Linked DNA regions of Mus musculus. Each later gene encodes a partner of the first gene's protein in a complex. Links are inferred from orthologs where the notes say so. Each region holds a gene or a part of one and is shown on either strand. Other genes may lie near its edges. The genes, in order: Med13l, Med24, Med12, Ccnc, Med23, Med25 and Med31.

Evidence for each region.
Region 2: Med13l (region 1) and Med24 share a complex: the UniProt entries of both Homo sapiens proteins name them as parts of the mediator complex. The link is inferred for Mus musculus from reciprocal best matches to the Homo sapiens genes MED13L and MED24.
Region 3: Med13l (region 1) and Med12 share a complex: the UniProt entries of both Homo sapiens proteins name them as parts of the mediator complex. The link is inferred for Mus musculus from reciprocal best matches to the Homo sapiens genes MED13L and MED12.
Region 4: Med13l (region 1) and Ccnc share a complex: the UniProt entries of both Homo sapiens proteins name them as parts of the mediator complex. The link is inferred for Mus musculus from reciprocal best matches to the Homo sapiens genes MED13L and CCNC.
Region 5: Med13l (region 1) and Med23 share a complex: the UniProt entries of both Homo sapiens proteins name them as parts of the mediator complex. The link is inferred for Mus musculus from reciprocal best matches to the Homo sapiens genes MED13L and MED23.
Region 6: Med13l (region 1) and Med25 share a complex: the UniProt entries of both Homo sapiens proteins name them as parts of the mediator complex. The link is inferred for Mus musculus from reciprocal best matches to the Homo sapiens genes MED13L and MED25.
Region 7: Med13l (region 1) and Med31 share a complex: the UniProt entries of both Homo sapiens proteins name them as parts of the mediator complex. The link is inferred for Mus musculus from reciprocal best matches to the Homo sapiens genes MED13L and MED31.

The regions. Positions count from the first base shown.
Region 1 is NC_000071.6:118,559,444-118,563,518, forward strand, and holds the start of Med13l (mediator of RNA polymerase II transcription subunit 13-like), read left to right. Parts: upstream 1-1,275; 5' UTR 1,276-1,342; coding exon 1,343-1,414; intron 1,415-1,418; exon of another isoform or gene 1,419-2,368; intron 2,369-4,075. UniProt on the Homo sapiens protein: Component of the Mediator complex, a coactivator involved in the regulated transcription of nearly all RNA polymerase II-dependent genes.
Region 2 is NC_000077.6:98,715,920-98,719,419, forward strand, and holds part of Med24 (mediator of RNA polymerase II transcription subunit 24), read right to left. Parts: intron 3,365-3,500; exon of another isoform or gene 3,352-3,364; intron 2,938-3,351; coding exon 2,899-2,937; intron 2,652-2,898; coding exon 2,578-2,651; intron 2,224-2,577; coding exon 1,991-2,223; intron 1,847-1,990; coding exon of another isoform or gene 1,790-1,846; intron 607-1,789; coding exon 495-606; intron 363-494; coding exon 212-362; intron 1-211. UniProt on the Homo sapiens protein: Component of the Mediator complex, a coactivator involved in the regulated transcription of nearly all RNA polymerase II-dependent genes.
Region 3 is NC_000086.7:101,284,091-101,287,590, forward strand, and holds part of Med12 (mediator of RNA polymerase II transcription subunit 12), read left to right. Parts: intron 1-55; coding exon 56-283; intron 284-453; coding exon 454-598; intron 599-771; coding exon 772-892; intron 893-1,370; coding exon 1,371-1,472; intron 1,473-1,568; coding exon 1,569-1,682; intron 1,683-1,934; coding exon 1,935-2,110; intron 2,111-2,277; coding exon 2,278-2,457; intron 2,458-3,470; coding exon 3,471-3,500. UniProt on the Homo sapiens protein: Component of the Mediator complex, a coactivator involved in the regulated transcription of nearly all RNA polymerase II-dependent genes.
Region 4 is NC_000070.6:21,726,490-21,730,500, forward strand, and holds the start of Ccnc (cyclin-C), read left to right. Parts: upstream 1-1,211; 5' UTR 1,212-1,394; coding exon 1,395-1,426; intron 1,427-3,907; coding exon 3,908-4,011. UniProt on the Homo sapiens protein: Component of the Mediator complex, a coactivator involved in regulated gene transcription of nearly all RNA polymerase II-dependent genes.
Region 5 is NC_000076.6:24,876,486-24,879,985, reverse strand, and holds part of Med23 (mediator of RNA polymerase II transcription subunit 23), read right to left. Parts: intron 3,047-3,500; coding exon 2,945-3,046; intron 1,598-2,944; coding exon 1,528-1,597; intron 314-1,527; coding exon 201-313; intron 1-200. UniProt on the Homo sapiens protein: Required for transcriptional activation subsequent to the assembly of the pre-initiation complex. Component of the Mediator complex, a coactivator involved in the regulated transcription of nearly all RNA polymerase II-dependent genes.
Region 6 is NC_000073.6:44,889,565-44,893,645, forward strand, and holds the start of Med25 (mediator of RNA polymerase II transcription subunit 25), read right to left. Parts: upstream 2,801-4,081; coding exon 2,667-2,800; exon of another isoform or gene 2,581-2,666; coding exon 2,535-2,580; exon of another isoform or gene 2,501-2,534; intron 2,344-2,500; coding exon 2,219-2,343; intron 1-2,218. UniProt on the Homo sapiens protein: Component of the Mediator complex, a coactivator involved in the regulated transcription of nearly all RNA polymerase II-dependent genes.
Region 7 is NC_000077.6:72,212,531-72,216,830, forward strand, and holds the start of Med31 (mediator of RNA polymerase II transcription subunit 31), read right to left. Parts: upstream 2,801-4,300; 5' UTR 2,459-2,800; coding exon 2,431-2,458; intron 1,686-2,430; coding exon 1,608-1,685; intron 1,344-1,607; coding exon 1,247-1,343; intron 1-1,246. Other genes in the region: 4930563E22Rik (uncharacterized protein C17orf100 homolog), read left to right, coding at 2,801-3,190. UniProt on the Homo sapiens protein: Component of the Mediator complex, a coactivator involved in the regulated transcription of nearly all RNA polymerase II-dependent genes.

The DNA.
Region 1 (4,075 bases):
TCTACCTCTTTCCAAGTCAACTTTCTCCCTTTCTCTATTTCCACGACGAAAAGTCCTGGAAGGCAGTCTCCGGCATCAGCACTTCTCCCAGTCCCATTACTCTCTGAAGAAGGGATGCTGGTTATTATTGACCGCTTGGAGCTGGAGGAAGGGCCTGCTCCCCTCCACATAGCCCAGTGTGAATGTGGCACCTAAGAGCGCTGGGATCATCTATGTAAGGAATGCCTGCGTGCACGCACAGAGTGGGCGCCAAGGGCTCCAGCAGCCGGGATGCTTTAGGAGCTCAGCGCTCGGGAGGCAGTGAGTCCCGAGCCCTGGCTTCCCGATGCCTGGGTTCGAATCCCGCGACCCCGGGCAAGCACCTCGCTCGCTGCCTTTGTGTCTCTTTGAGTCCTACTCCTCCGCCCGGTGCGCTGCGGCAGGCAGGCCGGCGGGCGGTCGCGCGCGAGGTTTCGAGGAGGAGACACTCCTCGGCTCGCTCGGCCAGGCCGGGCCGGCCCACGCCGCTCCTCGGGGACCCGAGATGCTCCCCCAGGGGGGCTCGGAGGCCGCTCCGGGGAAGCCGCGGCCCTCTTCGGCCCGCGCCCGACGCGCGCCCGCGCCCAGGGCGGGGCGTCCACGCAGCCCCGGCGTCCCACGGCCGCCCGCACCTCTTTCTCTTCCCTCCCTGGCTCCGTCACCCCGCTCCGAGAGGGCCGCGCTCGCTCGGCTCAGCAGCGCCTCCCGCGAGCCACCACCGCCGCCGCCGCCGCCGCCGCCGCGGCCCCTCCCCCGCCCCCCGCGCGGCCGGCGCCCGTCACGTGACGCGCCGCAGCCAATGGCGGGCCGAGCCGCGGTCGGCGGCCGCCATTGCTGTCAGAGCGAGCGAGCCCGGGGAGGGAGGAGAAGCGCGGCCGACTGGGGAGGAGGGGGGGGGTGGGGAGGAAGAGGAAGGAGGGGACGGCGCTCGGCTGCCGGGGTCGCCCGCTGGCTTCGTCCGCACCCCCCCCTTCGCGGGCTCGCGCAGCGGCGGCGGCGGCGGCGGCGGCTCGGGGCGGCTGCGGGGCTCGCGTGCCTCCCGCGCCGGCGCGGCCGAGGGCGAGTCGCCCGCCGGCTTGGAGATAAACAAGGCGGCCGACGAGGCGGCGAGGCGGAGGCGGAGGCGGCGGCCCTGCGCGACAGAGGCGGGCGGCGTTGCCGGCCCGCGCCCCCCGCCGCCGCCGTCGTCGCCGTCGTCGCCACCGCCGCCCTCGGGCCTCCCGCGCGGGCCTCGCGCCCCTGGTGCCCGGGAGCCGCCGCCGCCGCCGCCCGGCCCGGCCCGCTCCGACATGCCCCGCTCTGGCGGCCGGGCTCGCGGAGGACCATGACCGCCGCGGCGAACTGGGTAGCGAACGGGGCGAGCCTGGAGGATTGTCACTCCAACCTCTTCTCGCTGGTGAGTGGCGGGGCGGGGGGGAGCCCGGGTTGGGGGGCGCGACCTCCCCGCCGCGCAACTTTCTCCTCCCGGAGCCCTGGCGGCGTCGGCGAGCGCGGCGCCCGGCGTGGACGTGCGTGGGGAAGTCGGGGCGCTGCGGACGCCGGGGCGCGCTCGGAGCGCCCACCTCCGTGGCAATCACACCCCCTCCCCTCCCCTTCCCCCCTTATTTTCTTTTTTTTTCTTTTTTCTCCTCCTTCCCCGAAATGTGGAAGGCTTTTCTGCCTTGTGCAGCCGCCGGCGCGGGTGAGCTGCAGGCTCGTCCTCTCTCTCTCTCTCTCTCCCGATCGGATCGGCTGCTCTCCCACTCGCCGGCGTCTGCCTTCTGATTTTTTCTTTCTCTCTTCCTCTGTTTCTCCGTTTTTTTCCCTTTTTTTTCCTTTTAATATTTCCACAATGACACCTGCGATTTCGCCCGAAAACAGTTGATGGAAGGCGATGGTGTCAGGGAAAAGGACTCTGGCAGCCGGAGCTCGCTCGCGCCGTTGTAAACACGGACAGCCGCCCGCCTCTCGGGGTTTACTACGCCGGAGAGCGGGAGAGCCATTGCTCGGAGCCCACGGAAGGTGGAGGAAGCTGCTGCTCCTCGCTCTCCTCCGCTGCCTTTAAAAACTGTTTTCTCTGCTTTAACAAGGAACACACACACACACACACACACACACACACGAGCAACAAGCTGGGCGGTTTGATAACATCGCTTTTATCTGCCTTCGCCTCTCCTCTCTCCCGCTCTCGCCTCTGATAATTGACAACTTTTGCTTTGGAAGTGCATCGCCTGCCTTAATCTCGAACCATTTAGGGTGTCAATTGTTCTTCTGGAAGCCTGGCACCGGGCGACGGCGGCTCGATTCGTCGAAATTAAAAATGTATAGAGCTCCAGCAACTCTTTCCTGGCGGTGGCAGTGACATTTGGTGGTAAATGCCATCTTTGCTTTTTATTGGGTCGTATTACCTAGCTCTGAAAACATTCGCGTTGTTAAACCCGGCGCTTACGCTGATAATGGGAGTGCATGGTCTTTAAATACGCGCTTTGTGCCTGAGTTACTGTGTGTGTGTAGCTATGTGCCCGGGAGAGTACGAATTTGTTTAAATATTGAGCAAAGATTTGTAAACAGATGTAAGGCAATTATGTTTCAAGCGTAGAATATAATTGGAAAATTGGTTGAACGGCCTATTTAATTTAGCCTTAAAAACTCAACTTATTTTAGTTGTGTGCCCAATTTTGGTGGGGAGGGTGCTGGGGGGGAGGGTGCTGACTTTTGGAGAGCATGCATTTATTGCAAATTATTTTCTGGAACCCCTGCTGCAGATAGAAGCTTTATTTCCTTTTAGTCCTTGTTTACACTGGATAAATAATTTAGTGTTCAAATTGTAATTAGTTACATTTAATTATGGGTGGCATAGATGCTTTTTCTCCCCTTGGAGACTAGTGGAGAAAGAGGAATTGTTGCCAACTTTGGAAGTGTCATTCTGTTTTCATGCTGATGAAGAAATCAAGCATGATTTTGGCCTACAAAGACACAGGAGTGACACAGTCCCCCTGCTCCCACTCTTGTAAGCAGGCTGATTCCTGATCACCCCGAATTTTATCCTGAGGCTGTTTCGAGGTTCAGTTAGAAGTTGGGGGTCCTTCCTTTTACCCCTGTGGTAATTTACCGTTGATCTTTTGATGTGAGGATAAAACTACTTCTGTCTCTTTTTTCACCCCCCCCTTCCCTTGTCTGTCATTTATTATTAGGTTCAGGGACCTTCATAGATCAGCAAATGTATTGACTAGGCGGTATTTACCCCCCCCCCCAACCAATTTGGTGACTGGGTGACCGCAATGACACTTTTATAGGTAATTAAAATAACCAAGTCAGCTGGTGTTAGCTGGGGAGAGCTCCCACTTGCTGTGCATCAGGCTGAGAGCAGTGCTGCCTGTGTGCATGTGGCTAATGTATACACAGTGTGTTGTGCAGGCAAATGCATGCCTGCTGACTGCACAGCTCCACTCTCAGCTTCAGGGATCTATGGGGTAGAGATGAGATGGTCCGGATTCTTTCTTTAATTTCTGGACTTTGATTTTGACTGCATTCTGGGTATTTCTCCGCTTAAACCAAAAAGTTGACTTGAATATAAAGTACAATTAACTTTTTTGGGTAACTCCATTGAAATGCAGAAATGGCTTAGATTAGTTTTAAAATGTAACGTATTTCCTGATACCTCGAGGTAGGTAAATGCTGTCTAGTTGTTTAAGAAATTTATCTTTATTTTATATGCATCGCTGTTTTGCCTGCTTGTGTGAGGGTGCTGGGTTCTTTGGGATTGGAATTAGAGACCATTGTGAGCTGCCACGAAGGTGCTGGGAATTGAACCCAGATTCTCTGGAGGATCAGTCAGTACTCTTAACCCCTGAGCCATCTCTCCAGCCCTAAACTTTCTTAGAAAACCAAGCCAAATAAAAGAGACCCACGGAAAACCAAAACCAAGAATAAACTGCCAACAGTCCTTTATTCGGATTCTTAATTGAGAATTTTTTTCTGAAGAGCATACACACAGCAGCAACCTATCTTACTTATTGAGAATACATTGCGTAAAGAACATTGTATAGAATAGTTGATTTCAAAGGAGAGGCATCCT
Region 2 (3,500 bases), on another chromosome or scaffold:
GAGCTCACGCCTTTAATCCCAGCACTTGGGAGGCAGAGGCAGGTGGATCTCTGAGTTTGAGGCCACCCTGGTCTACAAAGTGAGTTCTAGGACAGCCAAGGCTACACAGAGAAACACTGTCTCAGAAAAAAAAAAAAGAGCTATTCCTCTTAAGTACCAGCCTACTCCCTCTTAGCCCAAGTGGCCACCCACCCTGCTTGGCCACGCCTACCTGCATGCGCTTCACCATCATCAGCTGCTCCACCAGGGGCTGCATCTCCCCGGTCAGGTTCATGGTGCCCTCAAGCAAGATGAGTGCGTGGATGGTGGGGAAGCCGGTCTTGTGCAGTTGCTCGGAGTGCACGGACAGCATGCTGGGGATGCTGAAGAGAGACACCATTGGGGACGTGTTGGGAACTGAGGAGACAGCGGGACACACACACACACACACACACACACACACACACACACACAGACCATGGAGCCCATCTTCCCATCTCCGGCAGAAACCTAACCTCCTGATGAGTGTGCCGCAACGCTCAGCTTGGCTCCGGAGCTGGGGGTTGCTGAGATTGGCCAGGATCTCCCCAAGTTTTAGAAGAGAATGCTCTATGGCAGTCCAGGAGGCTGGTGGAGAAAAAGCAAGGCAGAAACTGCTGGGAAGGAGAGGCAGGGCGTGGTCCACACTCCCCGACCGTGGCGCTCCCTGGACCGTGAAAGCATCCAGCAAGGAACCTCTGAGGACGAGGAGGCAGAGTCCTGAGGGTAGGGTAAGGGGAGTAGGCACCGGGAACAAAGACCCCCCTAGCAACCATACCAAGGGCCTGACTTCCAGTGACTACACACAACTGACTCGAGACACACAAGCAATGGGAGCAAGGCACAGGGGTGGGTACAGCATCCAGTGGCCAAGCGGGGACAGTCACTTCTACTCTAGCTCCAAATACCTTGCCAACACAGCTTTTGAGTTTCTGCTCTTTGAATAGCTTACCCAGCTGGTGGAGCCCACTGGACACTCTCTTAAATGGCCGCACTCACGGTCTACAGCACATACTTAGTATTTAATTACTAGTCACTTATCCTAGTTACAAGCCCAAAGGGTCAAATGATGAATGACGGCACCAGTTAGCCAATTAACCTCCATGTAGCACAGGGACAAGAGAAAGACAACTGAGACCTGAGATCCATCAAAATGAAGTATTCATCTACTTTTCTACCAATAAACATTTATCAAGTGCCCAGGAAGGCAAGGCACTGCCAACACTAACAAGAAAGCAGATGAAGAAAAGCTGTCCGAGCAGCCCATTCTGACACAGTGATCGGTCTCTTTCTGGACTTTTCCCAGAGAGACTAATCCCCTAACAACCTCTCCCACTGAGCCCTGAAGACATGGGTGTCACCTATTTTAGCATTCCTGTCAATGGAGAACCCTTAGGTGGCCCTAGCTGCTGGGGCTCAGGACTCATGAAGACTTCCCTCCTATAAATCTGTAAGGTGCCAATGCTTAACAGAACTTGAGTTAAGAGAGAACAGCATCCAGTCATGGCTGACAGGCACTGAGTTTAACTGAAGTTCCGGGTCACACCTGAGTCATCTGCTTCTAGGCGAGCAACATGAAGACAGACAAGAGCAGACGACGTGCCTGTCTTGTCCTCCAATTTCTCCAGGCGCATGGCATTCCAATCTTACTCCCCACCAGTGTGTAAGCTTGCTGAGGGCAGGGACCCTGCCACATGCTCCTTTGGAAGCCCCCATCCCCCCCTCCAGCACCTGGCACAGTGCTGGACACACGAGAAGGCTCAGTAAATACCTGTTGGTTGATTGGCTCGGGTGCCACCCTGCCCAAGTCCCTGGGATGTATGCAATGCTTATGGGGAGAGAAAAAAGGAAGTGGGATGATTTCGGATCCTTCTAGAAAGAAGTGGGATGGCATCCTGCCTCTCCCCTCTCAATCAAAGGACCAGCTACAGAAGCAGCAGCAGGCAGGGTGTGGGGGAGTCAGGGGACATACAGGCCTCCTCTAGTTTGGCGATGTGTAGCAGGGCTCGGTTCTTGGTGCTGCTGAGGGTCTTCTCCAGGCACTGCAAGCACAAGGCAAGCTGCTTCTCCCCGGGGGCCGGAGTGCCAGCCTCCAGCCCTTCCTGGAGTCGCTCCGCAGAAGCTGCTGTACATCGAAGCAGCCAGTGGAGGGCGCTAAGGAGCGCTCGGCACAACCCGATGCATTCCTCTGCTTTGCCGTGGCAACTACCCAAAAAGGATGAAAATTTGTATCTATTCCAAAAGCTGAAATCCAACCCACACCAATGTTCCCCCAGAGTCTCTGGCACAACACTACTAGGGGACAGAGTTGGAAAGTTGGCAGAATCCTAGGTAAGACACCTAGTCTAGCCAGCTTCCACTAGACGAGATCTTAGAGTAGCTCTTCCAAATAGAGAAGAGGCACTTTGTCTTAAGGAAACAGAAGCTGGAGGTGGGAAGGCAGGCAGACAGAAGCAGCCTGGGACCCAGAGCTGGTCTCAGTCCGTCCCCTAGACTCTGGGCTTTCCTCGGCACTGAAAGGATGATGCAATGCTCTGAGCTTCCACATCCATCTCTCACCTGAGTCGGTCACAGAACATGTCCATGATATCCAGCAGAGCCTGGACACACAGGTCCCGGGAAAAGTCATCAAACTGCAGAAAGAACAGCGAGCAATGGAGGGGGCTCAGCACTACCTCTCACAAGCTCTGCTACCTCTCCTCCCCAAGCCCTGGGCCACAGACTTGCCACATGGAAATGTGTTCCTAATTTCCAGGACCTCCTTCCTGGGCGGGGGGCATCAGGTGTTGCCTATCCAGCCTCAGGGGACACATGACCTGAGTGGCCAGGCTGGTAGCCTTATTTGCCCCCTCCCACAGCTCCTGAGAGCCACAGTCATACCTTACTGATGGCGGTGAGCACAGAGGAGCAGGACACCATCTAGAAAGAAGGAAGACACAGGACGTTGAGACAAGTCATCTACTTGGGAGGGGCAAGCACTGATGCTTAAACTGCCACAGCGTGAGGTCCCCAACCCCTTCCCTTCAAGAGGTTTCCTCAGCTCATTAAAAGGCCCACAGTAACATGTGCTGTCCTTATCGCTGCTTCCATCAGACTCAGTGCAAGTGGCATGCGTATAAGCCGAATGAGAGGGTTTCGAGTACCCAAAGGCATCCTGCCTTGTCTTTATGCTGTTCCTTTCCAAAACTAAATGAAGTTCAACTGGCCACTAGTGGGCAAAAGAATCACCCAGAATGACGGTCTTGTCTTGTATGGGGTCAGGGAGTCCTGGGGATGAAGCTCAGCCCCACGCCTGCTAGGCAAGGGTGGAGACGTGACTCTGCTGGACTGAAGATGCACTTCGGTGGTCAGTGCCGGCCTAGCATGTGTCCTAATTTCAACCTGAAGCACAGAGGCGGGTGTGTGCATGTGAACTATTTGAGCCTCTACACTAATCAGGCCCATTGCTCCTTTTATCAAGATTAACTGTGCCGGGCGGTGGT
Region 3 (3,500 bases), on another chromosome or scaffold:
CTGTACCCCACCAGGCCTCCTTCAGTATTGCTGTTTCCTTTCCCCACCTCTGCAGTGACTTTTGCTCAAAAGTGAAGAACACCATCTACTGTAACGTGGAGCCATCGGAATCCAATATGCGCTGGGCACCGGAGTTCATGATTGACACTCTGGAGAACCCTGCCGCTCACACTTTCACCTACACGGGGCTCGGCAAGAGTCTTAGTGAGAACCCTGCTAACCGCTATAGCTTTGTGTGCAATGCTCTTATGCACGTCTGCGTGGGCCACCATGATCCTGATAGGTATGGGCTGTCCTGAGTTAAGGAATGAGTATCATGCTTTACCTGATACTGGGAGGGCTGGCTGACCAGAGATACTCTCCCTTCCCTTGTTATTGGGGCAGAGATCGGAAGTTAGGTGTCTGAGGTATTGTGGGACGAGTCTTCCTGAGGGCTTTTGTACTTTTCCCTAGGGTAAATGACATCGCCATCCTTTGTGCAGAGCTGACCGGCTATTGCAAGTCCTTGAGTGCTGAGTGGCTAGGAGTACTTAAGGCCTTGTGCTGCTCCTCGAACAATGGCACTTGTGGTTTCAATGATCTCCTGTGCAACGTAGACGTAAGCCTTTGGGTGGGGTCTTGCTGGAAGATGAGGCACTTACCTATTTGCTAGAAATCTGGCTACAATCAAGACCGTAGAGGGTCAGAGTTGAGTAGAGTGGAGGCATGGCACACTGACTATGTCTCTTTCCCCATACTGACTCACAGTGGGCGTTCATCTGTTTTCCTTAGGTCAGTGATTTGTCTTTTCATGATTCCTTGGCTACTTTTGTTGCTATCCTCATCGCCCGTCAATGTTTGCTCCTAGAAGACCTGATTCGCTGTGCAGCCATCCCTTCACTCCTCAATGCTGGTAAAGTGCCAGTCGGTAACCTCTAGAATGTCAGAACTGTACCATGTATGCTCGTGCATGCTCCCTAGCCAGCCTGTGATTATGAACCCCCCTGCTGCAGTTCCCAGGCCAGTGCTTTGTTGCACCCCAGGCTGGAAGGATGGAAAGGCTTCTTTTGATGCAGCACTGATGCAACCCCCTCACACACCCCCCCCCCACAGTTGAACCCAGTACCTCCCTCATGTTTGAGCATGAGCTTCATCCAGCCCAGCCTATGGAAAAACCTTTTAGTTTTGACCTTTCCGCTGTATAACGTTTTTGCGCTCCACTTCTCCTTCAGGATTATATTGTTTCTTCCCCTTTCACCTCACTTATATTTCAGTTTATTCCTCCTCCCAACACACACATACACATGCACAGTATTCCATTTTGTTCTTTTTCAGATCTGCTCTGTCTTTATTCTCATTCATTCATTCATTCATTCATTTATTTTTGTTAGCTTGTAGTGAGCAGGATTCTGAGCCAGGAGCCAGGCTTACTTGCCGAATCCTCCTCCACCTGTTCAAGACGCCACAACTCAATCCTTGCCAGTCTGATGGAAGTGAGTGACTTTGATTGGAGCCAGGCAGTTATAGAAACAGGCTCTCCCAACCCACTGCTTTTACTCCTGTTTCCCCTAACTTGGACTTCCTTGCAGACAAACCTACTGTTGGAATCCGGTCCTCCTGTGACCGCCACCTGCTGGCTGCCTCCCAGAACCGCATCGTGGATGGGGCTGTGTTTGCTGTTCTCAAGGCTGTGTTTGTACTCGGTATGCAATGGGGTAGGGAGAGAGACATGCCAGAAGTGTATATAGGGTGGAGTGCCAGCTGAACTACAGGGACAGTCTTTCTCTATCCCAAAGGTGGTCTCTCTGACCTTTGGAGAAAGGGGGTGGAGAGAAGTATATTTCTGTTTCACAGGGCAGCGTTTGGGGAATTTCTGCCCCTGTGGGCCAGGGCAGGTCTCCATACACTGTTCTGATCTCACTGTGCACTCTCTATCTCCCACCCATGAACCGCAGGAGATGCGGAGCTAAAAGGTTCAGGCTTTACTGTGCCGGGAGGAACAGAAGAACTTCCAGAAGAGGAGGGAGGAGGTGGTAGTAGCGGTCGGAGACAGGGTGGCCGCAACATCTCTGTGGAGACAGCAAGTCTGGATGTCTATGCCAAGTACGTGCTGCGAAGCATCTGCCAACAGGTCAGTCTCACCTTCCCCCCCATACCACCTATAAATGCTTCTATGTAATCTAGCCCTGTTTCTAGCCCATGACCACACTACCTCCCTGCTATACATTGGGTCCTTTACCTGCCCCTGGCACAACTTCCCAGGGTTGCCTGCTGTCCTCTAATTATCAGCCTCCTTAGGAATGGGTAGGAGAACGTTGCCTTAAGTCACTGTGTGAGGATAGCAATGATCTACAAGACCCAGTGTTGAGTAGTGCCCAGGCCCAGCGCCTCATGCAACTTATCTGCTACCCACATCGACTGCTGGACAATGAGGATGGAGAAAACCCCCAGCGGCAGCGCATTAAACGTATTCTCAAGGTAGGCTAAAGGAGCTGGGGTGCTAGGGGGCAGCAGGACAGACCTTACCTGGAAATAGTGGGAACCATTCCTCAGTAGGAAGATGAACAAGCATGTAGGAGAATGGGTGCAAGAAAAGCAGCTCCAGCATGGGCTTAGGAGCAGATCTGGTGGTCTGGTCTAGACTCAGAAGTTAGGCTGTTAGGTGAGTGCACAACTGTCTGGGGTGAGCATAGCTCATCTGTGGGACGAATTGCCTCTGAGTGGCCTGGATTCTGCTTTGTATATATGGCACTTTGGTTGTGACTCAGTATTATAGTGGCAAGTGTCTCATGCACAGGTACTGTATGCACAGCACCGTGCCCTCAGTCCTTTTCATTTGATCTTTATGACCTTGTGAAGTGAATAGGAATATCCTTGTTTGACCAGTGAGGAAACTGAGGCTCAAGAGCTTAATTGGCTTGTCTGAGGTCACAGGAGGAGCTAGTAAGGTTTGAGTAACTATGTGGACTCAGCTGTGCCTGTACCCTTTCACTTTGCCTTGTTGCCTGCCTCAGACATTTGACTGACTGGAGTGGGAAAACAAGGCCATGGAGGAAGTCCTAAAGGAATGTGTTCTCTTTAGCCTGGAGGAAATAATACCAAGGGGAGATTACCTAACAGTAGCTTTCCAGTCTCTACAGGACTTCAAAAGAGTGTCCTGTAAAAAGGCTCTGTGGGGGACTTTTGAGAAGCTGATGGAAAACAGCGTAGTCAGGTTTCAACCTTAACATTAAGGATTTAAAGGTTAGGCATTGAGCAGAACTTTGTGGGGCTCTGGGACAAGGATCTAGAGGGGTATGAAATCATTTTTTAACCATAGTAAACTACAGTTGCTTTCAGTGATTTGGGATTATTTAAATGTAGTCTTTCCTAATGAGAGGGGCATAGAGGTCCATTCCAGCTTCTAGCAATCTGTTTTGGGGGAGTATGAGTTAGTCATAAAATAGATAGTAAGGTTGACACAATGATGATTGTTTGGTTTTTGCCACCAGAATTTAGACCAATGGACCATGCGCCAGTCC
Region 4 (4,011 bases), on another chromosome or scaffold:
AAGATCTAGAGGGCAGCCAGGAAGAACTAGCCAGCTTTAGGAAATACCATGAGAATGAGACGAATTTTCAAGCTAAGTTGGGGGTATAACAATGTTATAACAATGAAGCCTAGTCTAGCTCATCCAAATTCAAGAATAAATGTATTTCACAGGTTAATTGTGTACGTGCCTAAGTGGGTGGAATTTAAAAACATCTTTTCTATAGTTGGCATACTAGTTTCACTTATAGAAATTGTTTTCACTCCATTCCACATCTCAATTAGACTCCACTCACAAAGGAAAAACATTGGTGCTATCTTCCTCGGAATTCTTGACTAATTTTCAGGTGTGCCCAATCATTTAGAGACATTTTTTAATTTAAATTAAAACTTAAAAGATTTAGATAGATCCTCACCTGTCCTAGGCTGGCCCAAAACAACGTATCTGAGGGTATTGAATACCCTTAGCTTGCAGGTGTATATAGTGCTGAGTATCACCCAGAGCTTCTGGGGCACCAGCAAGCATTTTACATCCTTGATTATCTACATCCCTTTTCCTCTTTTCCCCTAGATGGCGTCTCAGCATGAAGCAAGGACTGGCCTGAAACTCCTCATGTTCTTGACTCTGCCGCCGAAGTACAGTACGAAACGCGAACGCAAAGTTGCAATGATAACAGCAACATTTAAATATTATTTAATTGCATTTCTGCGGCATACCCATTTGGAACGTAAGTGTTAGCTAGATGTACATTTATATGCTCATGTTTTTAGGTAAACAAGTAGCCGGCTCTGACATAAAAAGATTGCTACTCTAAGTTAAGTCTACACTTAACTCGTTAGGCTTAATACCGACAGGAACTTTACTAAGAGCACTTACATCTTAAGGCCAAAATTACTTTCATTTATTTCTCCTTTCAGCCCTAGGGAAAAAGCAGTCATATACTGCCATGCTTTCTTCAACGCCAGTGTGCTATTTCTGAAGGCCTACACCGTGGATTAACAAGATCCCTAAATGGACCCAAAAGAAAACCGCACTAGACCAGAAACCCAGTGTGTGGACGCTCTGGAGGAGAATTGGCAGGAAACCTCGGGGAGAGCCTCTCGCCACCGGGAGCCTCCGCCCGTGTTTCCTTAGCTCCCGCCTCAACAAGCCCATTGGCGGTCGGGCGGTTGCTAGCTTCCTCCGCAACTAGGGCGGGCCGGAACTTTTGTCTGCCGGAACCGGTGTACGCCGCTCAGTGTTGTCGACCGGCGTCAAGGCGACGAGGGTGCTGTTCTCTTCCTCCGGCTGCGGTGGCTGTGGAGTTCAGCCCAGCCAGTCTGGTAGGAGCACAGTCGTCCGGACTGTGTCTATGGTCGCTCCGCGGGCCGCTTTGCTGGCTGGTGCATTTGTATCAGGGCAAGCAGTATTATTCCATGGCAGGGAACTTCTGGCAGAGCTCCCACTAGTAAGTGAGCTTCCATTTTCTCGCCTGGGGCCGGGGCTGGGGCACAGGAGGGCTGGGCCTGCCCATCCCTCGGGGTTTCCATCCTGGCCGCTGCGGGTGAGCCCTCCCTGGGAAGCCGGGGGTCCGAAACGTGATGCTGTCGTTTGCGAGCCTCCCCTCTTCTCACAGAGAGATTTCGGGAGCAGAGGGGAGGTGAGCTCGAAGGATGGGTAAGAGGTAAGGGGTTTGATCTCCGGGAAGGGAGTCGGAGGCGGTTTCATTTCAAATTTGGGGTTTGATTGGTGGGATGATGTGGGCACCGGCAAGGGAAAGAGTGACCCATTGTAGCTCTGTGAGGTTCCCTGCTTTGGATGGACATGGTTGGCTATTGCTAGCTAGCTTGTTTGTTTGTTTGTTTTTTCATAGCAGTGATATTATAATCTCTTGTCATTCGCCTTACTGTAGATTTAATATTTACTCAGAGGAGAGGAGTGAGTCGTGCTTGTTTCTACCTGCTGCTTCCTGGCCCAGCCTTATGCCTAGATTGACACCACTACCCCCATCCCCGAAGCAGTGTTTCTCACGTTGAGGGATGGCTGCCCTAAAACTCACAGGCTGGCATCGAACTTAATGAAATCTGCCTGCCTCTGCTTCTGCTTCTAAGTGTTGGAATTAAAGGCATGAGCCACCAATTGCAGGCTCCTAAATTGACTTTAATGCTTCTAGAATTTGCGAGCACAGGGGCTCTCAAAATATATCCATTTTCATTCATTAGCCAGTGTCTTATATTTTGCCTTAAAGTCGTGTATTTCCCAGATTTTGTCCTCTTCCTTTAACCACTTAAATCACTAAATTTTAATGTCTTTCAGTGACCATGGAAGGGCTAAAGTAATCTTAAAGATATTTGTCTCTAAATACATTTGGTTAAACATGCAGGAAGTTGTATGCTTGGGCTAAGCGTTGAGCAGGCTTTCCACTAAATACATAAAAAATGAACAGGACTAGATAGAGACATTTAGTTTAATTAAATTTTAGTGGGAAGAGAATAACAAAATTTTAATTCTGTGAATTGGTTTGCTTGTTTCCCTCTTTGCCTGAGAATAAAGAAGAAGAAGGGGGAAAAAAAAAGAAAGAAAGAAAACTGAATTTGGAAACCTGTTTCTGAAAGCAGGTCCTCCCTTGCTACCAAGTGTTTCTGGGAAGATGAAAGGCCAATGAAGCATCACTGGGGGACATTATTTTACATTGTTCTCACTCACTGAGATGTTTCCATTAAAAAAATGAAATACAAAAGGGGATGACCCAAAAAGGTGGGATAAAGCTTGGGCCTGTACTTAATCCTGGTGCTCAGATAATGCCTTGATTGCCTGTCTCAGTGACATAATACTAAGACAGGCAGTAGTAAGTCTTTGGATATAGCAAGAGTCTATCTTCCAGGATGGTTCTTAGTCTAGAGGGTCTGAAAACCTGTGTGCTGGTGTTTGGTACACATGACACTATGAAGGAAATTGAGAAAGAGGTAGAGAAGCTTTGAAACCATCAAGAGATTCTTTACCCTCAAGTTTTCCTGTTTTTTGTTTTTTTCTTCAAACGATCTTGCTGAGGCTGCCAGTGGGCTGCTGAAAAACTAGAGAACTCTGATGAATAACTTACCTGAGAGTTTGAAATGGCGTCTACAGCATCCTTGTTAATCGACCAGACAGTACGGGAGTCACACTGATTGACACAGATTTATATCCAGCAAAGCACTCACAAATATATTCCACTCACAAATAGCACTCACAAAAACCAAAGAGATTTTATTGGTCCAACAAGACTGAGAAACTTGGGGGTGATGGTGAAAACACTGATTGAAAAGGGGATTAAATTAGAAAAATATAAAATTTGCTCCAGGTCTGAATGTATTTGAAACAGGTGAGCATGTATTGAAGAACTCAAGTATTTCATTGTTGAACATAATTTACTAAGGATTTTAGAGACCTATTCTGAAGAGTTAATGCTGAAGTTTCAGAGGTAAACTGGTGCTCTACCTCAGCTGCATTCCCAGCCAGACACTGTCTTTTATCAATGTTTTAAGTACATACCTCCAAATAAATAAATAAATAAATAAATAAATAAATAAATAAATAAATGGAGGAAGAAGAAGCTGGGTGAAGCACTGCATGCCTTTAATCACAGAACTTGGTGGTGATGGGGAGGGGCCGATCTCTGTGAGCTTGAGGCTGGTCTGATCCATGGAAGGAGTTCCAGGATAGCCAGAGCTAACCAGAACCAAACAGACAAATAAAGACAGAGAGAGGTGTGCCTCGTAGAAGATGGTAAGCTTATTGAATCTTAATGTTTTAAATGCTTTGGCTTGTTGGCTTTTTTCCTATAAATTTATTTATTCACTTTACATCCCAATATCAACCCTCTCTCCTCCCAGTACCTCAAGCAGCTCCTCCCCTTCCCATCCCTGCTGTTGCCTTTCTATGCCATGTTTTAAATCTTTACCTTCTCTAGTTTGCAGTGGATTTTGGATAAACAAGATCTGTTGAAAGAGCGCCAAAAGGACCTAAAGTTTCTCTCAGAAGAGGAGTATTGGAAGTTACAAATATTTTTTACAA
Region 5 (3,500 bases), on another chromosome or scaffold:
ATGGTGACTCACAACCATCTGTAATGGGATCCAATGCCTTCTTCTGGTGTGTCTAAAGACAGCTACAGTGTACTCATAAAATAAAATAAATAAATCTTTAAAAAAAAAGAAGAGAGAGAGAGGCAATCTGGCATCGAATACTTGAAAAAACAGGATAGATATTCTTAGATGGCCAATCCTACACTGGATTTAAAACATACCTTATCATATGGCAAAAGGCCTTTCAAAGGAAATCGCAGAGTTGCAGGGTCCAGTTTCCATGAGTTACAGATGGCTCCCGAGTTGTTCACAACTGGCAGAAGACTGCATCGGCCTGCATGCATTACAAAAATATTTCCATGTAAATGTGCTCAAGGCCATGGCAGGTCCTTCATCCTGGGCTACAGTGCCTGGTTACAGTGCCTGGGCTACAGTGCCTGGATTACAATGCCTAGGCTACAGTGCGTGGGCTACAGTGCCTGGGCTACAGTGCCTGGGTTACAGTGCCTGGGCTACAGTGCCTGGGCTACAGTGCCTGGGCTACAGTGCCTGGGCTACAGTGCCTGGGCTACAGTGCCTGGGCTACAGTGCCTGGGCTACAGTGCCTGGGCTACAGTGCCTGGGTTACAGTGCCTGGGCTACAGTGCCTGGGCTACAGTGCCTGGGTTACAGTGCCTGGGCTACAGTGCCTGGGTTACAGTGCCTGGGCTACAGTGCCTGGGCTACAGTGCCTGGGCTACAGTGCCTGGGCTACAGTGCCTGGGCTACAGTGCCTGGGCTACAGTGCCTGGGCTACAGTGCCTGGGCTACAGTGCCTGGGCTACAGTGCCTGGGCTACAGTGCCTGGGTTACAGTGCCTGGGCTACAGTGCCTGGGCTACAGTGCCTGGGCTACAGTGCCTGGGCTACAGTTCATGGGCTACAGTGCCTGGTTACAGTGCCTAGGTTACAGTGCCTGGGTTACAATAGACTGGAGAGTCTCGAATTCTCATTACTATGGCTACAGAAGAACCTAGCTGACATTTCCAGTGGTCCTGAGTTTAGGAAGCATTTTCAGGGGCCAGGAATAGGGTCAGGTGGTAGATTCTTCAGCAGGCACGCAGTCCTGGGTTCTCTCCCCACAACCACATACACTGAGTGTGGCAGCTCATGTTTGCAACCCCTGCACTGAGTTGGACAGAGGAGAATCAAATGTTCGAGTTCACCCTTGCTTACATAATCTCAGGCTAGCCTTGATTTTAAGGACCTTGTCTAAAAAAGCCAAAACCAAAATATAACGATAGGGTGCCCGGCTAACTAAGATATACAAAATAAAATAAAACGTGTTTCTAGTCAGATGAAACCCAACTGTTGGAATGGTCGTATGTGAGAGATGCCCAAGTCTATGAGTGCTGTCTTTGCCTTAATCAAAGCACCTAAAAGTAAACGTCATTATTAGACTCCTAGAGTGTCAAAGTGGCGAGTCACCCTAAGAGGCCGCCCTTCAGCTATGCCCACTAACGATACAGGTACTATGTAATACACTAAGTGTCCTTTAAATGGATCTTACCACAAATGGAGTTAATCCTTGCTGTGGGCCTGAAGGTATCCACAAAGTCTGATACCAAGTTTCCTAGTAACTAAAAGAAAAAGAAAATAAATAAATCAATACACAAACAAGGTTATCCTGCATCTCCGTGCATCATCTATGGAAGTTCAGATACTACACAGAATCAGTACAAAGCCTGGCACAGGCAGTTACTTAGAGACGAGTGCTCTTTCTTTTTCTTCCAAACACTTGTCTCCATGTGTCCCTAAGTTGAGCCAAGTCACACCACTGCATCCTTACCCAGTCAATGAAACTGTAGTTTTTAAGCACATAAGAACTGTCTCAATGGGTTAATAGAGATACAAAACGAATATGTTACGCTAAAAAGAGAATGCATTTCCTGGGTCAGCGCCGTGGTTCAAGAGGGAAAGGTGCTTGGCACCAAGCCTGAAATATCAGTGATCCGGAGCACAGGGAGACAAGAAAACTGACCTCTAACCACATACACGGGGTACACAGACTGCCCCTACCCCAAATAAACATTAAGTAAACTATGTAGAGCCTAAGGATACCTGACCATGTGAAAATGTGCACATGACCTGAGTCTTCCTTTGGAACCCTCCCAGTCTCGAGTTCTCTGTTCACTCTAATACGTAATTACCTTCTCAAAGGGGCTGTGAGATGAAAAGGCTCAGCAGGTGAAATCATTCGCTGTGCAAACCTGCTAACATAATGCTGATTCCCTCCGACACAGGAGAAAACCTGCTAACATAATGCTGAGTCCCTCCGACACAGGAGAAAACCTGCTAACATAATGCTGAGTCCCTCCGACACAGGAGAAAACCAACTTTCAAAGCGTCCCAACTCCACACTCACACTGCGGCATGTGCAGACATACGGTTCGTGTTTGCTTGTTTTATGTAAGGATGACACAGGCTAGAGTCATCTGAGAGGAGGGAGCCCCCGGTGAGAAACTGCCTCCATAGGATTAGATTATAGGTGAGGCTGCAAGTCATTTTCTCAGTGATCACATAACCCACTGTGGGTGAGGCCCTTCCTGGACTGGTGGTCCTGGGTTCTGTAAAATAGCAGGCCAAGCAAACCACGAAAGCAGGTCAGTGAGCAGCACCCTCCACGGCCTCCTTGGCCTCTGCCGAAGCGCCTGCCTCCAGGTTCCTTCCCTGCTTGAGTTCCTATCTTGATTTCCTTTGATAGCACAAAATGATATGGAAGTTTAAGCCAAATAAACCCTTTCCTCCTTAGCTGCTTTGGTCATGGTGTTTATTTCATATCAATATAAACCTAACTAAGATAGGCAGACAGACACAAAGACAGACAGACAGACAGACAGACACACACACAGTATGTGTACATACAAGCAATACAATTATATAACATCTTGATAGGAATTTAAAATTTTAGAAAATGAAAATTTTACCCAGTGTGGAAGTTTTCCCTCAGGATATAGTTTTCTGATCTCTGTGACTGCAAAGTAGGCCGGCAATAGGCAGGCATTTCGTTCTAAGATATAAGCTATAACCTAAAACAAGCAAAAAGCATTATTCTTGACTAGGCTCACACAAACAACCTATAAATACAACGACGGCAACAACAAAAAAGTATATTTACAAATGACTAAATGGGGCTGGGACAATAGCTTAGTTGGCAAAGTGTGCTTGTATCTGTGTGGGAGGGAGCCCTCAACATGCTGATTAAAAAAGACTCACTTCTGGAAATCAGGAGGAATAAATTCAAGGTCTGTTATACATCACGACTGCAGTTAATCAGAATACATTATGAACTTGAAAACGGCTACCAAGATCTTAAATGTATGTAAGGAACTTGTGTCTGAGATCGCAATGCTTGGGAGATGGAGACAGGAGAATCTGGAGCTCAGGCCGATCTTCACCTAAGCTGCAAATTCGTTCAGAGCCAGCTGGGTTACATGATACCCTACCTCAAAAAACAAGACAGAAGACTGAGGTAAACTATGG
Region 6 (4,081 bases), on another chromosome or scaffold:
TGGTTAGGAGCACTGGCTGCTCGGATTCCAGAGCAGCTGGCAGCTCAGAACTGTCCGTTACGGACAGTTACAGTGTCCGGCACCCTCACACAGACATACATGCAGACAAATCATCAACACTGTTTTGTTTTGTTTTGTTTTTTTATTTTGGAAGGGAGGTTGCAAGTGTTGTGGGTGGATATGAGGGGACAGAGAGATGAGTGGGTTAAAAAAATAAAATAAAAGATTTATATAATCCAAGCTAGGTATAGCAGCTCAAACAAGCAAACCTAACATGGGTGAGGCTGAGGCAGGAGGATGGAAAGGACTGTGTGGTGTTTAAACCAGACTAAGGGCCTAGAAATGAATCAGTGTTCAGAGCACTGGCTGCTCTTCCAGGGGATCCAGGCTGCAGTCCCAACACCTCCATGGCACTGTGTAACTCCAATTCCAGAGGATCTGATGGCCTCTTTTGGTCTCAAAGAGCACCAGGCACAAGTGTTGCATATACAGAACCTCGTACACATTAAATTAAAAAAAAAAAAAATCTGTTTTAAAAACGTGAGTGCAAGCCGGGCGTGGTAGCGCACGCCTTTAATCCCAGCACTCAGGAGGCAGAGGCAGGTGGATCTCTGAGTTCGAGGCCAGCCTGGTCTACAAAGTGAGTTCCAGGACAACCAGGGCTATACAGAGAAACCCTGTCTCGAAAAACCAAAAAAAAAAAAAAAAAAAAAACCGTGAGTGCAAAGTGTCAACAATGTCAAGGATGGGAAGGCTGGCTTTACATTAACTCTAATCCTAACAACTTCCGGGAGGGGGTGGGGCAGTGCACAGGTCAGCTTTCCATGCCACCTACCATGTCACACACACACACACACACACACACACACACACCTGGAACACAGCAGACAAGCAGACATTCAACACACACCTGCTTCATCAAAACAGGATCTAGATCAGCACCGCTATATGAACCTTGACCACAACACACCTGTGGAATCCACATGGCGAGGTTAGCCCCAGCGCCCCTTCAACCCTTCCAATGCCCACCAGTCTACACTGTTATTCATTTGCAAACCAAGACCAGGAACAGGGCAAGCAGTAACTTTGGGCACTCACGCACTGCTTACTGTGTGCTGGGCGGCAGCACCCTACATGGCTCTGGTGGTCTGTCCCCAGGGATCCCACTGGTCACCCATTCTTATCTGGACCAGGATAGACTCACCTACCAAACAAGTGGTGACAAAAGTGATGGACTGTCACTTGGTCATCAAAAAAGCCTGGTGGCTTCCTCTTTGCCCCCTGGATTCACTCATTCACTCTGAGCAGAGCCAGCTGCCAATCTGGGCATCACTCTGCTATATGCCAGGGCATGATGGCAAAGAGCCAGCAAGGAACTAAGGCTCTGTCCACAGCCGCAGAACAGCCATCATAGCCATCACGGCCTCATGGCCGTGGCTCTTTCAGGCATGCCAGAGAGTGGATGAACACAGCCCTGTGAGACCTGACCAAACACACACGGCCTGGCTTATCCTCCTGAGTTCCTGACATACAGATGGCTTCATGAGGAGCAACTGTGCATTCTGAAATCCTTAAAAGTGGGGTGGGAGTGGGGAAACGTTATACAGCAACAGACAGTCAAGAGCACTGAGAACAAATACGAAACGAGCAGCACAAAGGACCCTGGGACCCGACAGTCAAAGAGTTATCTGGGAAGAAGCCATGACTCTAGGCTGCCTGGCTCTACAAGCTGGTCATGGTGGCAGGTGTCTGTAATCCCAGCAACCAGAAAGTAGAAGCAGTCAGATCAGCAATTCAAGGCTACACTGTGCCAGGTGTGGTGGCCCATGCCTCTGATCCCAGCACTTGGGAGGCAGAGGCAGGTGGATTTCTGAGTTCGAGGCCAGCCTGGTCTACAGAGTGAGTTCCAGGACAGCCAGGGCTACACAGAGAAACCCTGTCTCGAAAAAAAACAAAAAAAAACAAAAAAGGCTACACTGTAAACTGTGACCCAACCACGTAAGGAGCTCTCAGGGCCCAGACCCATCCTGCAGACTCCTCTGGAGTAGACAGACAAGAGGAAGAAAGAAGAAGCTGACGGTAACTGGACACTCAGACAGGGACTGTGGTGACCCACACTGAGTTCTGCTGAGTGCGGGGCACTATTCAATCACAGGCCACCCTGCCCACAGTCTTTCTTGGGGGTACCCATCCTGCCCCAAATGGAGGCAAAGCTCACTTGATGCCATCGAGCCAGGTGACAAACTCATAGGCACTGCTGGTAGGTGCGTGACATTGTACATAGGACTCTGGAGCGCAGTCCACGGTGTTGAACACCACAAGGCTGTACTGGGTTCCACCATACTGGGAAGAAAGGACAGAACAACTTTACAACTGAGATCTTTGGCAAGGAACAGGCCATCCCAACTTCAGATCATTTTAGAAATAAGCTGTGAGCCCTTCTTCTCTCAAACCCAAGACTAAGGACCCCATCTTTCCTCCCTCAGACACAGGGGTCTACCGGCTTCCATCCCGTGACTCGGCCGCGCACTCACGTCTCCCCCAAAGTCCGTCTCTGCAGGGGGTCCCCCGTTGAAGTACCTGCAAAGACGGAGGAAAGGCGGGGTCGGCACGAGCTTTAGGTTAGCTAGGGCGGCGGGAGGCGACGAGAGGTCTCGCTCACTCACTCTATGGCAGGCAGCAGGTAGTGCTTGCGGAGCTCCTCGAAGTACGGCCCCAGGTTTGCTGTCCCCTCGATCACAAACACCACATCGGCGACCAGGCCCCCGGCCCGCGCCGGGCCTTCGGATCCGGGGACCATGCCCCGCGCCGCCGACGCCAGCGCCGCTGACGCCGTCGCCGTCCCGGGACGAACAGAAGTGCGCTTGCGCGGTGTGCGCAGCCCCGCCGGACGTCTGGCAGCTTCTGCTGATGCTGATACGGCCATGTTTGTGCGGGGCATTTTGCGAGCCGTGGTTTTATCTCTACCCTGGGGCATACCAACAACACGAAACTCTCAGAATGGGCACAACGAGCCCCTTTAAGGGCCTCTTGAAATCGAGCAAACTTTTGCGCACAACATCAAGCACGAAATAAATCGAAAAACGGCACATCCGGTCACCATCTTGGAGTCGAAATCTAGTTTCCGACTCCGGGCTAAAGGGAGGGTCGGGAATCCGGTTGCTAGGCAACGCGTACCCATCCGTTGTGGTCTCACACAGAGATTAAGTTAATAAATTCTGTTCTTTCTGACCGGGAACCGATGAAAGAGAGCGGTCCAATCACATCATTGGAAACGACGTTGCTAGGCAACACTGTAAAGTTGCCCGGGACTTGGAAGCGAAGCAGTTGTTTTTGCTGGGAAAGAAGGGAATTCCAATTTAAGTGGAGGTTGCTAGGCAACACCTAATCTCTGTTTTCTGGGAAAGAAGCCAGAAACAGAATCAAAGAAAATACATTCCTTATTAAAAAAGAAAAAAAGAAAAGAGAAAGAAAGAAAAGAAAAAAAGAAAAGAAAAAAAAGAAAGAAGAAAATAATAATACTATATATATATAAACAGTGCAATAGTAATGTCTGGTATAGTCGAGAAAACTGAGTCTCAGCATTGTAGCTAACAGCATAAGCCGAAGTGAATATAAAATGACCTGGAAACTTATGTGTGGACAGAAATTTACTAAATAAAGCGTACTAATGTAGAAAGATACAAAGCCGCGATGGCGCACGCCTTAAATTCCAGTGCAGAGCAGATGCAAGTGGGACTGAGTTGCAGTATCAGTCTACAGAGTGAGTTCCAGGACAGACAGGGCTGCACAGAGAAACCCTGTCTCGAAAAACAAAATAAGAAAAAAAGAAAAAGAAAGAAAAAAAGACAAGCGATTTTTCAAAACGTAGGTGGCAGGCATCCAAACTTGGCTCACTTGCTTGCATTTGCAAGCAGGTTAGCAACTGAGACATTGCCCCAGACCTTGGTTTTTGGTATCTCTTCCCCACCCTCCACTCCCAAGGCAGGCTTTCTCTGTGTTAGCCTTGGCTGTCCTGGAACTTGCTCTGTAAATTTGTGGAGCCTCCCAGAACTCAGAGATCTGCCTGCCCCTACCTCTG
Region 7 (4,300 bases), on another chromosome or scaffold:
TCCGGTCTGAAAATTTGCTAGCATGTAACATTTTATATCTTCTAATATAACTTCAAGTCTATCATTTGGATTCCTAAAGGAATCTATAATTGCATCATGAAGAGCAAATCTACAGGCAGCAAATCAAGTCAGGAAGGTAACGAGGATAAAAAGAAATTTTTGAAATGTTTTACTCTCATTTTTAAAATTAGAGTCTCTGCCGGGCAGTGGTGGCGCACACCTTTAGTCCCAGCACTTGGGAGGCAGAGGTAAGCATATTTCTGAGTTCAAGGCCAGCCTGGTCTACAAAGTGAGTTCCAGGACAGTCAGGGCTACACAGAGAAACCCTGTCTCGAAAAACAAAACAAAACAAAACAAAACAAAAAAGAGTCTCTCTGTGTGGACCTGATTGGCCTGAAATTTGCTACATAACCAGGCTGGCCTCAAACTCATAGAGATCTACCTGACTCTGTTTCTTGAGAGCTGGGATTAAAGGGATGCCAGGCTAAACTTCTGGTTTTTCTGTTGTCTCCTCCTTTGAGAGGCACATCTAGACAGGGCTTACCTGTGTAGAGCTTGCTGCCCTGGAAGTAGCTCTGTAGACTAAGCTGGCCTTGAATTCATGTGCCCACCTCTGCCTCCCAAATGTTGGGATTAAAGGTGTGTGCCAGCTTCTTCTTCTTCTTTTTTTTTTTTTAAGTCAAAGCTATTGAGTTTGATAGTGTCCGTGTTTGTTCTTTTACAGTGAGTTAATGTGTACAATACATTTAGCACAGTGCTCGAAACAAAGAACACTCACTATAAAGAAGGGCAGTACCTCTAAAACTCCCAGAAAACAATACTTCCTACCTTCCTAGATTATAGTTTGGTAGGCATTAAAAATCCAGAAAGACAAGGGCAGTGCTAAGTGACAAGGTTAGACACCAAATTACATTAGAACTATAGTCTGAAACCAGTTGACTGGATCTTAGCTAGCCTGCATGAACAGAAGTGGTGTGTTCTGGCTTATATTACTTAGAGAGTAAGCTGGCTCCCATGAAGACAGTTGTTTGGTTCTGTTTGAAGGGAGTGAGGTAAGAATGGTAGCAGAAATAAATGCAATTCCTAAAATAATCTAAGTTACAGATGACAGTATCTTACATTAACTAAAAGCAGAAAGATTCAAAATATCATTTTCCATTCCCACACAGAGAAAACTGCTCAGTATCAGCACTTTGTATTTATGATAAAGTATACACAGATTTAGGATTATAAAAATTAAACTTACTTTAGATATTTGGCATATTCTGGTTCTTTCCAGTAAAGCAAATACTTAAGATAATTAACAAAAGCTTTGTCTTTGAAGTAACCTCTTTGGGCAAGAACTGAAAGACACAAAGAAACAATCCGTATGTCAACCAACCGCTGGACTACTGATTAGTAATCTCTAAAACAAAGTAGCTCTTAACATCCCTACCAACAGAACACAAGGAATTAAAAACACAAGCCTTTGTTTGCCCAGTTAACTTACAGACCAGAACAAATAAAATCCCATTCAAACACATCGAAGTAATAAATAGTATTACAAACTGCATCTCTTCTCAGAAATTAAGAGCTAGTTGCTTAAGTTAGTGATGTACTTAACTTACAATTAAGGTAGTTTGGGTTGGCTAAACATTGCACAAATTCCAACTCCAACTGAAACCGAAGCCGATTTCCAGCATCATCTAGGAGAAAAGACAAATATCAAAGTGCAGAAGAGACTTTCTTAGAAATTAAAGATATATGTATATGCGTGTGTGTATATATGTGTGTGTGTGTGTGTGTATATATATATATATATATATATATATATATATATATTCACTAAGTAATGAGGCCCTGTTTCCAAAACAAAAATAGTAAAACAAAAAATAGTAAAGAAATCCTTTAAAGTTAATTGAGGAAAAAATAAGTTGAATGGGAATTTACCACCTGCAGGCCACTTTGTTAGCGGAGATCACTGGACAGTCTGTAATAGCTGTGCGGTTCCCTAAGTTGTTATAACCACAACTATCAACTGTGATTACGTTAAGCAAAATCAATGTGCTACACAAAACCGAAGCATGATGCAAAGTGATTAAACAATGGAGAGAAGGCGGTGTCCGCATTAGAATACACAGGTTATCGATATTTCGGGCAAGTTCTTGGGAGTACCTTCAGCACAGACAGTGGAAGGTCTCAGTCCTCTCCCACGGCCCTGCACGGCCCCAAGAGCCAGGGTTGGAGTAGGGGTTTGAGCAACCCAGGAGCAAAGATGTTTTCACAGACCATAGTCTGAGAAGCAGCACAGCCTTCTCCTCCGCCGGTCCCAACTCTAAGGATGCCAAGTTGAACCCGAAAGACAGCGCAGGAAAAGGGAAAAGGGAGGGAATTTCGGGGCGTAGGACCATTCCCTTGGGGTGAAGACTCGGGGTGCAAGTCACAACGTACCTGTCTCCATAGCGACGGCCGCGGCCATAACAATCAGAGTGAGGCGAACACCACCAGCCCCGACCGAACCGCGACTTCGATTGGTGAGAATCCGGAAGCCACGGCTCCTACTTCCGGTCGCGGGGCAGAGTGGGACACGAGGGCGGGGACAACCTCACTTATGGGAAAATTAGCCCCACCTATCTGTGCAGACCCGGCCGGCTGCGCGCGCAGATATCGAGCGGGGCGTGCCGGAGGACTTCTCATTTTTTAGGTCTCAGAGTCCTGCTACCTACCCCGACGTAATACACCACCCTGACGTCACCTTTCCCTGTGTGACGTGACGCAGAGCATGATCCTTGGGCCTCTTTGTCCCACCTGACCAAGGTGTATGGGCAGGATGGCCTCGCCCCTTAGGAGCAAGTCCTCCGCCCCGCGAGTGGAAAGCACCCGCCACAAGGAGACATCGACTGTCCGCGTGGAGACGTCGTCCCACCGCGAGGAAACGTCATCCCACCGCGTGGAGACGTCCTCCCGGCAGGTTCGAACGTCTTCCCGGCAGGTGGAGACCTCCCAGCGCCACCGAGAGGGGCCCTCCCTCACCCCCTCCACGAAGCGACTCCCTCAGTTCCTTGAGGTGTCCTCCCAGCACGTGGAAACCTCCTCGCAGTGCACGGAAACGTCCTCCCGCCACGTCAGGGCGTCGTCATCCCTGAGGGTGGAGACTACTGTGCACCGTGTTGAGAGCCCAGCCAGGCAGAGTGCCAGAATGGCTCGATGAAGTGCCAAAGGTCCTTAGCCAGGACTGAAGAGTTGCCAGCCAGCCATCTTCCAGGAGAACCGAGCATCTTTGGTTTCATGGAAAGAACCCATAAATCAGTGTAAGAAACAGGCTGTGGTTTCTGGGGGCTGTTAACATGTATTGACATTGCAGCACCTTAGACCATCCTGTTGTTGACCCCAGTGTGCTATTAACTTGAAGCCAGCACAGAAGGTTTCAGACTGGTAGTGCAGTATAAACCTGGCTGATGGACAATGAGATTCTTTGAGTCTCTACACCAGGTAAGTTTTATAGTCTTAGGTCACTCTAGGATGTGTTGACGACTTGAAATTTGCAAAGAGGGGCCAAACTTGTCATGATTCTTGACCGCTGGCCTGATCATATACCTGCTTGAAACCTACAGGGCAAGGTATCATCTTTCATACATTATTAATTGGCCTTTATTAATACTTATATTTCATTATACATTTTCTCATGTTGTCATACATAGTATTCCACCCACACTTAAAAAATTAAATCAGGGGGTATAGGAAAAAACAGGACAATTAATAAACAATCAATAAAACCATTAATAATCTTGGAAGGGAAAGTAAAGAAGAAGCCATGACACTTGGCCTGAGGCGTGAGATTGACAGGATGGTAACTGAGTATTACTGCATGCTAGGTAGTAGTTAGAGCATGGCAGCTAGAGCAGTGGAAAAGACTAGGATCTTCCTCTAATGAAGAGACATGCAACAAAGGGGAAAGTAAGACAACATGCTGTTGTATTCCCGCGAAGGAAAGGCTGTCTGTCTTGTGGTAGAGAGTAGGGAACTCTTTAGAGAATATGGTCAGGGAAAGCCTTGCTGATTACATTTGGTCCGAGATTTGTGTGAGTGGACAGTGAGCCATATCAGGATCTAGAGGGAAGTGCATTCTAGACAGAAGGGAAAGTCTACATTTTTTTTAAAAATCAAAGATGTTTATGTAAGAGAAAGATCAGTTAGTATATGAGAGCGTGGTATAAGGAAGAAAACAAAAAGGAGGAAGATGCCACTTCATATAGAGTCTTGGAAATCTTCTGGGATTACAGTAAAGAGCTTGAATTTTATTCTGAGATCATCAAAAGAA